Linked DNA regions of Nothobranchius furzeri. The protein of the gene in region 2 purifies or fractionates together with the protein of the main gene of each other region. This does not show direct contact. Links are inferred from orthologs where the notes say so. Each region holds a gene or a part of one and is shown on either strand. Other genes may lie near its edges.

The links.
Region 1: the proteins of mrps27 (region 2) and noa1 purify together in Homo sapiens (co-immunoprecipitation; 3 studies listed by BioGRID and IntAct, counting the BioPlex papers as one, with this or other methods). This does not show direct contact. The link is inferred for Nothobranchius furzeri from reciprocal best matches to the Homo sapiens genes MRPS27 and NOA1.

Annotation. Positions count from the first base shown.
Region 1 is NC_091741.1:64,625,696-64,629,989, forward strand, and holds the start of noa1 (nitric oxide-associated protein 1), read right to left. Parts: upstream 3,088-4,294; 5' UTR 3,043-3,087; coding exon 2,850-3,042; intron 1,660-2,849; coding exon 715-1,659; intron 565-714; coding exon 400-564; intron 320-399; coding exon 209-319; intron 1-208. UniProt on the Homo sapiens protein: Involved in regulation of mitochondrial protein translation and respiration. Plays a role in mitochondria-mediated cell death. May act as a scaffolding protein or stabilizer of respiratory chain supercomplexes. Binds GTP.
Region 2 is NC_091757.1:53,262,831-53,267,286, reverse strand, and holds the start of mrps27 (small ribosomal subunit protein mS27), read right to left. Parts: upstream 2,936-4,456; 5' UTR 2,861-2,935; coding exon 2,788-2,860; intron 2,642-2,787; coding exon 2,564-2,641; intron 1,590-2,563; coding exon 1,519-1,589; intron 1,422-1,518; coding exon 1,363-1,421; intron 1,038-1,362; coding exon 923-1,037; intron 568-922; coding exon 489-567; intron 1-488. UniProt on the Homo sapiens protein: RNA-binding component of the mitochondrial small ribosomal subunit (mt-SSU) that plays a role in mitochondrial protein synthesis. Stimulates mitochondrial mRNA translation of subunit components of the mitochondrial electron transport chain.

The DNA.
Region 1 (4,294 bases), on a different chromosome or scaffold from region 2:
GGCTCAGAACCTCCTGACAGAGAGGGTCTCAACACAGGGAAACTAAAGGAAGAACAGGATCAGTGGAAGATATTGATTTGTGATCAGCTGATCACAAATCTATCAATCACCTGATCAATTAACACCTTCACCTCATGGTCTGACTGTCACATGATAATGCTGCTCAAAGTGGATGACATCACAGATTCTCCATCTAATCACAGCTCACCGGTTGCTGTCAAACTTCCATCGTCATCTTCGCTGAAGGCCAAACTGTCCGGGTCAAACTCGATTTCAGCTGTTTTGGATTGTCTGGGCAGGAATGTGCGTCCAACGTGACCTGAACAGGTGGATAGGTGAACAGGTAAAAGGGGCTCATGTAATCCTGCCCCCCCCCCCACCCCACCCCACCCCTCTTACCCACTAAGTATCCATGTCGACGGAGCGTCTGTAGCCTCTTTAGCTCTTTGGGTGGTAGCTCCGCTTCCTCCTGTTGCTTTGTCTCTTTCAGGCGCTCCTGGCGTCTGAACATCCTGTACGGAGTCGGGTTGATGATGGGGAACTTCAGCAGGTTTAGAGTGGTCCCTGAAGGAAGCAGAGTGAGAAGAAAGAGGAGACAACTTGAAAACTGACTGATTGGTGAAATGTGTTGTGCTGCTCAGGGACTGGGTTCAGAACCATTAAAATATCTGAGGCAACAAATGAGGTGAAATGTGAGTTGGTTCTGGCACTAACCAGGCCATGGGGAGATGGTGGCTTTATGGATCACGTCAGCAGCTCTGGACTTGCAGTAATCGGACTCCAGCAGCGTGTTGAAGAGCGTTGACTTGCCCACGTTGGCGCTTCCCACCAGGTACACGTCCCCTTTGTACTTCCAGGAGCGCTGCAGGCTGGAGATCAGGGTTTCGATCCCATACCCAGTCTTTGCACTGATCAGATGGATATCGGTCACCTGAGGTCCAAACCCGGAATCCTGACAGTACTGGCCCAGTTGCTTCTTGATGCGCTGCAGGTAGTTGGGCGAGTCTCTTGGCAACAAGTCCACCTTGTTGCCCAGGACGACAACATGCTTGTTGGTTCCCACCAGGTCAGGCAGGTCTGGCACAATAGAGTCAGGCAGGTCCAGCAGGTCCACAATGAGCAGCACCAGAGCCTTCTTGGTTCGGACCTGCTGCACCACTTCTCTGTACTGGTCCCGGGACAGCTGCACATCCAGGGCTTTGTGGTGGTACGTGATGAGGTGGCAGCGCTGGCAGGTGGCTCCATTTAAACCCCCCTCCTGCAGCAGCGCCTTGTACTTCTCACTGGGCAGGTAACCCGGCAGGCTGGGAACACAGCAGTGCAGAATGGCACCACAGCCGTAGCAGCAGGTGTCCCCAACTGGAACGTCCTGGTCCGGAGTCCCAAAAATCTTCTGTTCACTTTTTGGCTTTTTCTTCTTTTTTGTGGACTTTATGATGCTCTCATTTAGCGGGAAGTCCACATCCTGGAACTGAATGAGGGAATCCAGTGTCGACTCCTGGAGAGATGCTCCCTTTAACACCTGAAGCTGACGCTCCAAACCCCTCTGGTGTTTCTGAGGAGGTACTGGATCATCTGGACCAGATCCACTAGAGGTCTGGGAGTCTGTCAGCTGTTGGAGAAGCTGCTTTTCCTCCTGATGAGGATCCTTCTCTGGGTCTGGACCAGGACAGACAAGAACAACTCAAGGTGATTCTGCAGATCCAAACCTTGCTGTACCTGTTCCACACTGGCTCATCTAAACAGCACCTGAGACACGTTTACAACTTATCCTGAATCAGTTTCAGCTCTGTCCTGACTGGACCTCATCGGAACCACTGCAGAGCCGTCTCTTCAGAGCTCTGAAGCACGAACACACGTGTCTCTTTCCCTCACTGGCTTCCTGTCCCTGACTGAATGTAAAACACATACACACCTGAAAGAACTTCTCTCTCTAACATCTACAGCAGACTCCACGTACTCCATCACCACACCCCTCAGGACCCTTCTAAGCTTTATGCGAGATCGCGTCCCACCCAGTCTGCTGCAGTCGTTACGTCCTTTAACCCTCCCACTGTCTTTATAGGTGACCCCGCGAGGAAAGTTGACCATTGAGCAGGGTAGATGGTTTATCCCTTGAGGTCCATGTGGCAGGGGTGAGGAGTGAGCACCACCTCACCCCTGCCACATGGACCGCAAGGGATAAACCATCAATCCTGCTCAATGGTCAACTTTCCTCGCGGGGTCACACCCATTAGGACAGTGGGAGGGTTAAAAAGACACTTAACACACCTAGCCTGCTGGGGGTGGTTGGAGGGACCGGTTGTGTCAGTGCTCACCTCTGTCAGTGCGCCCCAAGGCAGCTGTGGCTACAATGATCACCACCAGTGTGTGAAGAATGTGTGTGTGAATGAATGAATGGCTGTTGTGTTGTAAAGCGCCTTGGGGGGTTGTAGAACCCCAGAAGGCGCTATACAAATAAGGCGCGGTAGCCTCTCCGATGCTAACACCAGCCTGTCCAGGCTAATGCTAGCCTATCCATGCTAATAAACAGTACAGGGAGTGTGTGATCCAGTCATGACAAGCCGAGGGCTGCTAGTCCCTAGCGTATCTAGTAGTAACGCCGGTAAAGGTGCTATTTCTCAGTAAGCAGCGCCAGCCTCTCAGTTACCGGTGCCAGCTTATCATTAATCAGATCCGGTAGTTTGCTTCGTAATTTATATAGCCTCCTGCTGCTGGGCAGTAGTCTTAATTTTGGCCCCCATACCGCGCCATATACACATACAGGACATTTAGATCATGTTAACGAACCATAAAAGTCGTTTTGGGGTTCTGATGCAGCACCATCGTGCAGCACAAACGTCACCCACCTAAACAGTTCAAGAATACGAACTGCTCCTCCAGGTCTGGATCCACGGTGCAGCTTCGGACCTCGTTCCGGATCACAGAGCGACCTGTCACGGGGGCAGGGCCCCGCGTCGGCCGCCTTCTAACCGGAGCGGCCACGGAACCGACGCTCCTCCACACCTGACGACGGACACACACCTGAAGCGTTCTCAGCATGGCGACATGACATTGGGTAGAGCAGGGACTTCCTTGACGGAGGTGACGTCACAATAGTTACAAGTTTTGGTTCCGGTGTGATGTTATTTACTAAACGATTAATTGTTTAGGATAATGAATTAAGAGTAATGCACTTATATACTTAAGTAACCACGAATAAACAATGAATAATCACACAGAAAGAGATAAAAAGTTCCAGAAGAAAATCAACAGTGTGACCCCACATCGGTGAGACGAGGTCTCACTCTGACACATATATCCTGGTGTCCAAATACTTAAAATAGACTTAAATCAGACAAACGGAGATAACAGATTCAGTATAAAGAAAAAACAAACAGAGCGCTGTCAGAAGAAAACACATAATTATCAAAGAGTAGGAATATTATTCATGATCTAGAAATTAAACAGTTGACAGTCTAAGGAGCTTTGAAAACCTTCAAAGACGTAAACAGTTGACAGTTCATGTGTTGCCCTGAGAAGAGTCATTGTAGAAACACAGCAATGCAGATATGTGTAATCTGAATGATTTCTGCTGAGATTAGTCTGGACAATGTTTTATTACTGGGTTGACATGACAATGACATAGCTCGTTGATGATTTCAAGTGAAAGGAAAACTGGATCTTACAGGTTTATTTATAGGAAATCAAAATTTTGTATTTTTTATTCTTTTACGCAAACGTACAAAATACTATTACTATTTGTATCACTTTGATTCACATGTCAACAGTTCATGATGATAATACACCAAGGCACATGTGTGGATGAGAGGGACTCAAGGTCACAGGGGTCAGGAGTGCTTTTGAGTGGGACGTTCAATAGTCCAAAGTAGAGTGTGGAAAAGAGGTGAAGAATCGTGTTCAAGCAGGAATAGGTGGAGAAACATGTCAGGTGTGATGTACGATAAAAGGGTTTCAGCAAGAATGAATGGAAATGTGTAGAACAGTACGGACCCTCTGAGAAGACAGGAGGCAGAGAGGAAATTTTGAGATTCTTCTTGGAGTGGTGGGGTGGTTAAAAATCAGGAAATGGGTCATCAGAGCCGATGAGATGGTAATGTGATGCTAATTGGTGGGAGAGTAGAGGATGTAGAACAGAGGACTCCACATTTGAAAATTAAATATATATATATATATATATATATATTTGTTCAAACAGGTCTAAAGTAGACATATCTATATCTATAAAATGTTTAAAAGTATTTATCTAAACCAACTTCCTGCTGTAGAGACAAAATTCCAACATTATAGAAAT
Region 2 (4,456 bases):
GCCCCCAGGTTAGGAACCACTGCGCTAGAGTACCTACAGCGAATGTCCTACAATTGAGAAAAACTGCTTTCAGTTTTCTTAACGTTGATGTTTTTAATCTTCTTTTATTAAACGATTCCAAATGCCCCCCCCCCCCCCCCCACACACACACACACTTTCCTGTCATGTAATAATAGATTTAATTTTCCGTTTTGAAAATTTTATATCATCCCTGCCTGCATTTACAACAATCCCGCCAACAAATGTAAACAAAAACTCTGTTTACAAGGATAAAGCAAAGTCTAAACAATGCTGCTTTGTTTACCGGCTGCTGTTATCAAACAGGAAAATAATCAAACTTCCTCCTCACTTGTTTTTTTGGGGGGGAAAACGGACACAAAGAGCTCAGGAATTTGAGTTTAGAGATGTGAAAGTGAACATTTGTGTCTAAATATGTGCTTGCCTGCAGCGGTTTGTACCATGTGACCTTTTGTTCTGAGCAGACTCACTTTTAAAGTCTCCATCCTTGATGTAAGAATCCAACAGCAGGTTGAAGGTGAAGTCATCAGGGAATATTCCATACTGGACCTGTTGGAAACATTTAATATACGACATTATAATGGTCACCATCTGTGTAAGCTTAAATGATCCTTTTTGCACATTTGACATACGAATATCTCATCTCTGACGCATCCCCAGTCAAATCAGTTTTATTACCCAAATAAAAGCATGATCTTTGAGTTTTAGAAATGCAGCAGCTCATTCATAAACATGATACGTGCTTGAGTGGTAACACTGGACCCGTCTGTGGGGTAACTGCAGCTTTTAGAGTGTATCCACCCATTTCCTTACTGGTTATTCACCTGAGCATCATCTGCACTCTACAGTAACCGCCTACATCATCATTTTATAAAAACTACATTAAAACTTTTGTGGGGTGTACCTTGTTCTTAAGAGTGTGCAGGGCCTTTTCTCGGCTTCCATATTTCAGACACTGTCTGATCCAACCGTGAATGGTCCAATCTCGCAAGTACCAACAGTTCGGACTATGACGAAACCTTAGAATGCAAAAAATAAAATAAAAAATTATTGTATTCATCAATCACAGGAAGAGATTACATGCTATGCTAGTTTAAATTCACACTAGATCATTAAAATAAACACTCCCTAAACAAAGGTGTGATTGAAAACAAGTCAGTGCAAGAGGAGGTGTAGAATCCAGAGGAAGGAGAAAACAAGAAAGGTCTGGAGTTGGCTCCGATAAAGAGAACCGTGTGACTGAACATAAAACAGAACGACAACGCAGTCCAAGAACACACAAGAAACAAGGGAGCAGCTGAGATTCAGCACAGACACAGAATAAGCAGAAGCGGTCCCTCGTACTTATACAGGTAATACTCCGCTTGGTCCACTTCCTCCTTAGATGATATGTTGTCAACAAACTGAAACACAGAGAAAAAAAGGGTTACTTCAAATGTTTCGTTTGCTATATAAAAAAACACAAAGCAAATGAGTGACCTGGATGTAAATGCAACTTACCCGTGAAATGGTCAGCGAGCTGACCGGAAGGTTCCTGTCGTACGTTCGGTCCATCAGATCGGCTAGAACAGCTGGAGGTCAGAAAGATTAGGGTCACGAGAAATCAAACATTGTTTATTCAGAATAAAAAGACTGCAACACATGACATGAAGAAAGTGACTCAACAAAAATGGGGATTTAATCCATTAATTTTACGTTTAAAAAATAAATCAAAGGTGCAAATTTAATTTAATATCTGTCAGCTTTCAATTAACACCACCAAGGCGCTGCAGTGCCACCTGGTGGTCATACAGTACAACAGCAGCAACACCTGCTGCTGGCAATAATCAACTAAACATAAGAATTTAATCTTCATCGAACATTTATTCATGTTGTGTTACATATCAACACGGGCAACTGAACATTTGACTTTAAATCCATGTTTACTGATCGCTGCCTTTTAAAGAAATTTAGTATTCATCTTTAGAAAGAGTAAAACTAATACACCTAATTTATTTAACAATCCAATAATTAAACTACATTTACTGTCTCTGCTCAATAAATAAATTATAGGAAAAAAACAACAACAAAGACACCAGCTTCAGCCCACTTCCGTCCATTTCTGCACAAATGTTGCCATTTTTGGCTCAACTAAATCTTTTTAATAACTTTGGTCTCATAATTGGAGTTTTACACAAAAAATATCCACAATTTTGATAAATAAATCCGACGTTCGCATATTAAATGGGGTTACATCTTAATCAAAGGTACAACAAAAGTCAATAGGTGCCAATTATCGGAGTAACTGCTTAGTTACTGTTTTTGTTATTGACAAAAAATATTTTATAGTTCCAGGTTAATCCTCAGTAAAGTTTTTATATTAATTTAACAATTATTAGATGGTGGTGGAACACCTGACATGATGTCCTTGTTGTTTTCTTATGCTTTACACATATGAAGAGGACAGTCTTGAAGCGGTTGAAATGTTGTTCACTGTAAAAGACCAGGTAATCTCCGTAATCCAGACAATCCAGGTGGGCTTTTAGATTATTCATTTATAACTTACCCAGATTCTGTGGGTCTTTTTCTCGCGCCTCCCACAGTTTGGTGTCTGTGTAAGCTGGAGACAGCAACCATCGTTTGGCTACAAAAAAAGACGAACCGATTTAGCATCTCGTTAACTAACAACCAGGAACACGTTCGGTTTATTCTAAATCTGAAACTCTGAAACACCAAGAGGAAAAACATGAATTATCAAATTTCCTGTAGGTTGCAGGAAGGCGCGTTTACCTGTAAGAGACGGAGATACACGTTTAACTTTCAAGGCTGCTTTTACACATCGATTAAACACGGAGGCCGCCATGTTTGACAGGAAACAGAAGTACGTTCTTCTTCTCTGATTGTAACAGTTGTCGGTCAAAGGGACAATACCGCCACCTTCTGCCTCGAATCAGACACTTCTTCTTCTTCTTCTTCTTCTTCTTCTTCTTCTTCTTCTTCTTCTTCTTCTTCTTCTTCTTCTTCTTCTTCTTCTTCTTCTTAATTTTAAAGTGCACAAATATACATTTAGGTGTAACTTTTTGTTAATATATCCTTTCTCAGTAGGAAAACTCCCAATAAAATTAAGTAATTTTCATAAACAATCTTTGTTATGTCGGAATCTTATCTTTAAACACAACTTCTCTCCTCACAATTGTATTATTTGGAACAATACACACATAGTATGTCAAAACAAAACACCCTTTCTACAAAATTGGTCATTAAGTAATGTAAACACTGTGAATAATCTATTAAATACTAATGGTGAAATATTATCGCACAAAGACTTCATAGAAAAATATAATATTAAGACTTCAAAAGAAGAGTATAACATCTATCCCTGTTAGTATCTTTTCTTTAGCAGAGACCATACAATCAAACATTATCTTATCTGCAGCAGTCAGACCTCCAACTATTTCTGGGATCTTAATTACAGATAAGAAATGTAATAATTCTGTTATTAGAAAAGTAATTGACCCCGTATCAACACCGATATGTAAACACCGATGGACTTTAATGAATGCAAAACCATGGAACAGGATCTTTCTGCTTCCTCACCAATACATGATTGTGAATAAGATAAAAGAAGTCTTGTTCAAAGTTGTACACAGATATTACCCGTCAAAAGCGAACATCTGTATTTTTTTCCCAAATGTCTCTGACATCTGTACTTTTTGTGGTTGTAAGGGAGAAACGATTGAGCAAATTTTTGTTGATTGTTTTGATGTAACATTATTTTGGTTCCATCTACAAACATCGTCGTCGTCGTCTTCCTCCGCTTATCCGGGTCCGGGTCGCGGGGGCAGCATCCCAACTAGGGAGCTCCAGACCGTCCTCTCCCCGGCCACCTCCACCAGCTCCTCCGGCAGGACCCCAAGGCGTTCCCGGACCAGATTGGAGATGTAACCTCTCCAACGTGTCCTGGGTCGACCCGGGGGCCTCCTGCCGGCAGGACACGCCCGAAACACCTCCCCAGGGAGGCGTCCAGGAGGCATCCTGACCAGATGCCCAAACCACCTCAACTGACTCCTTTCGATCCGGAGGAGCAGCGGTTCTACTCCGAGTCCCTCCCGAATGCCCGAGCTCCTCACCCTATCTCTAAGGCTGAGCCCGGCCACCCTACGGAGGAAACTCATGTCGACCGCTTGTATCCGCGATCTCGTTCTTTCGGTCATTACCCAAAGCTCATGACCATAGGTGAGGATTGGGACGTAGATCGACCGGTAAATCGAGAGCCTGGCTTTCTGGCTCAGCTCCCTCTTCACCACGACAGATCGGCTCAGCGTCCGCATCACTGCAGACGCCGAACCAATCCGCCTGTCGATCTCCCGATCCCTCCTACCCTCACTCGTGAACAAGACCCCGAGATACTTAAACTCCTCCACTTGAGGTAGGACCTCTCCCTCCAAAAAATATATTT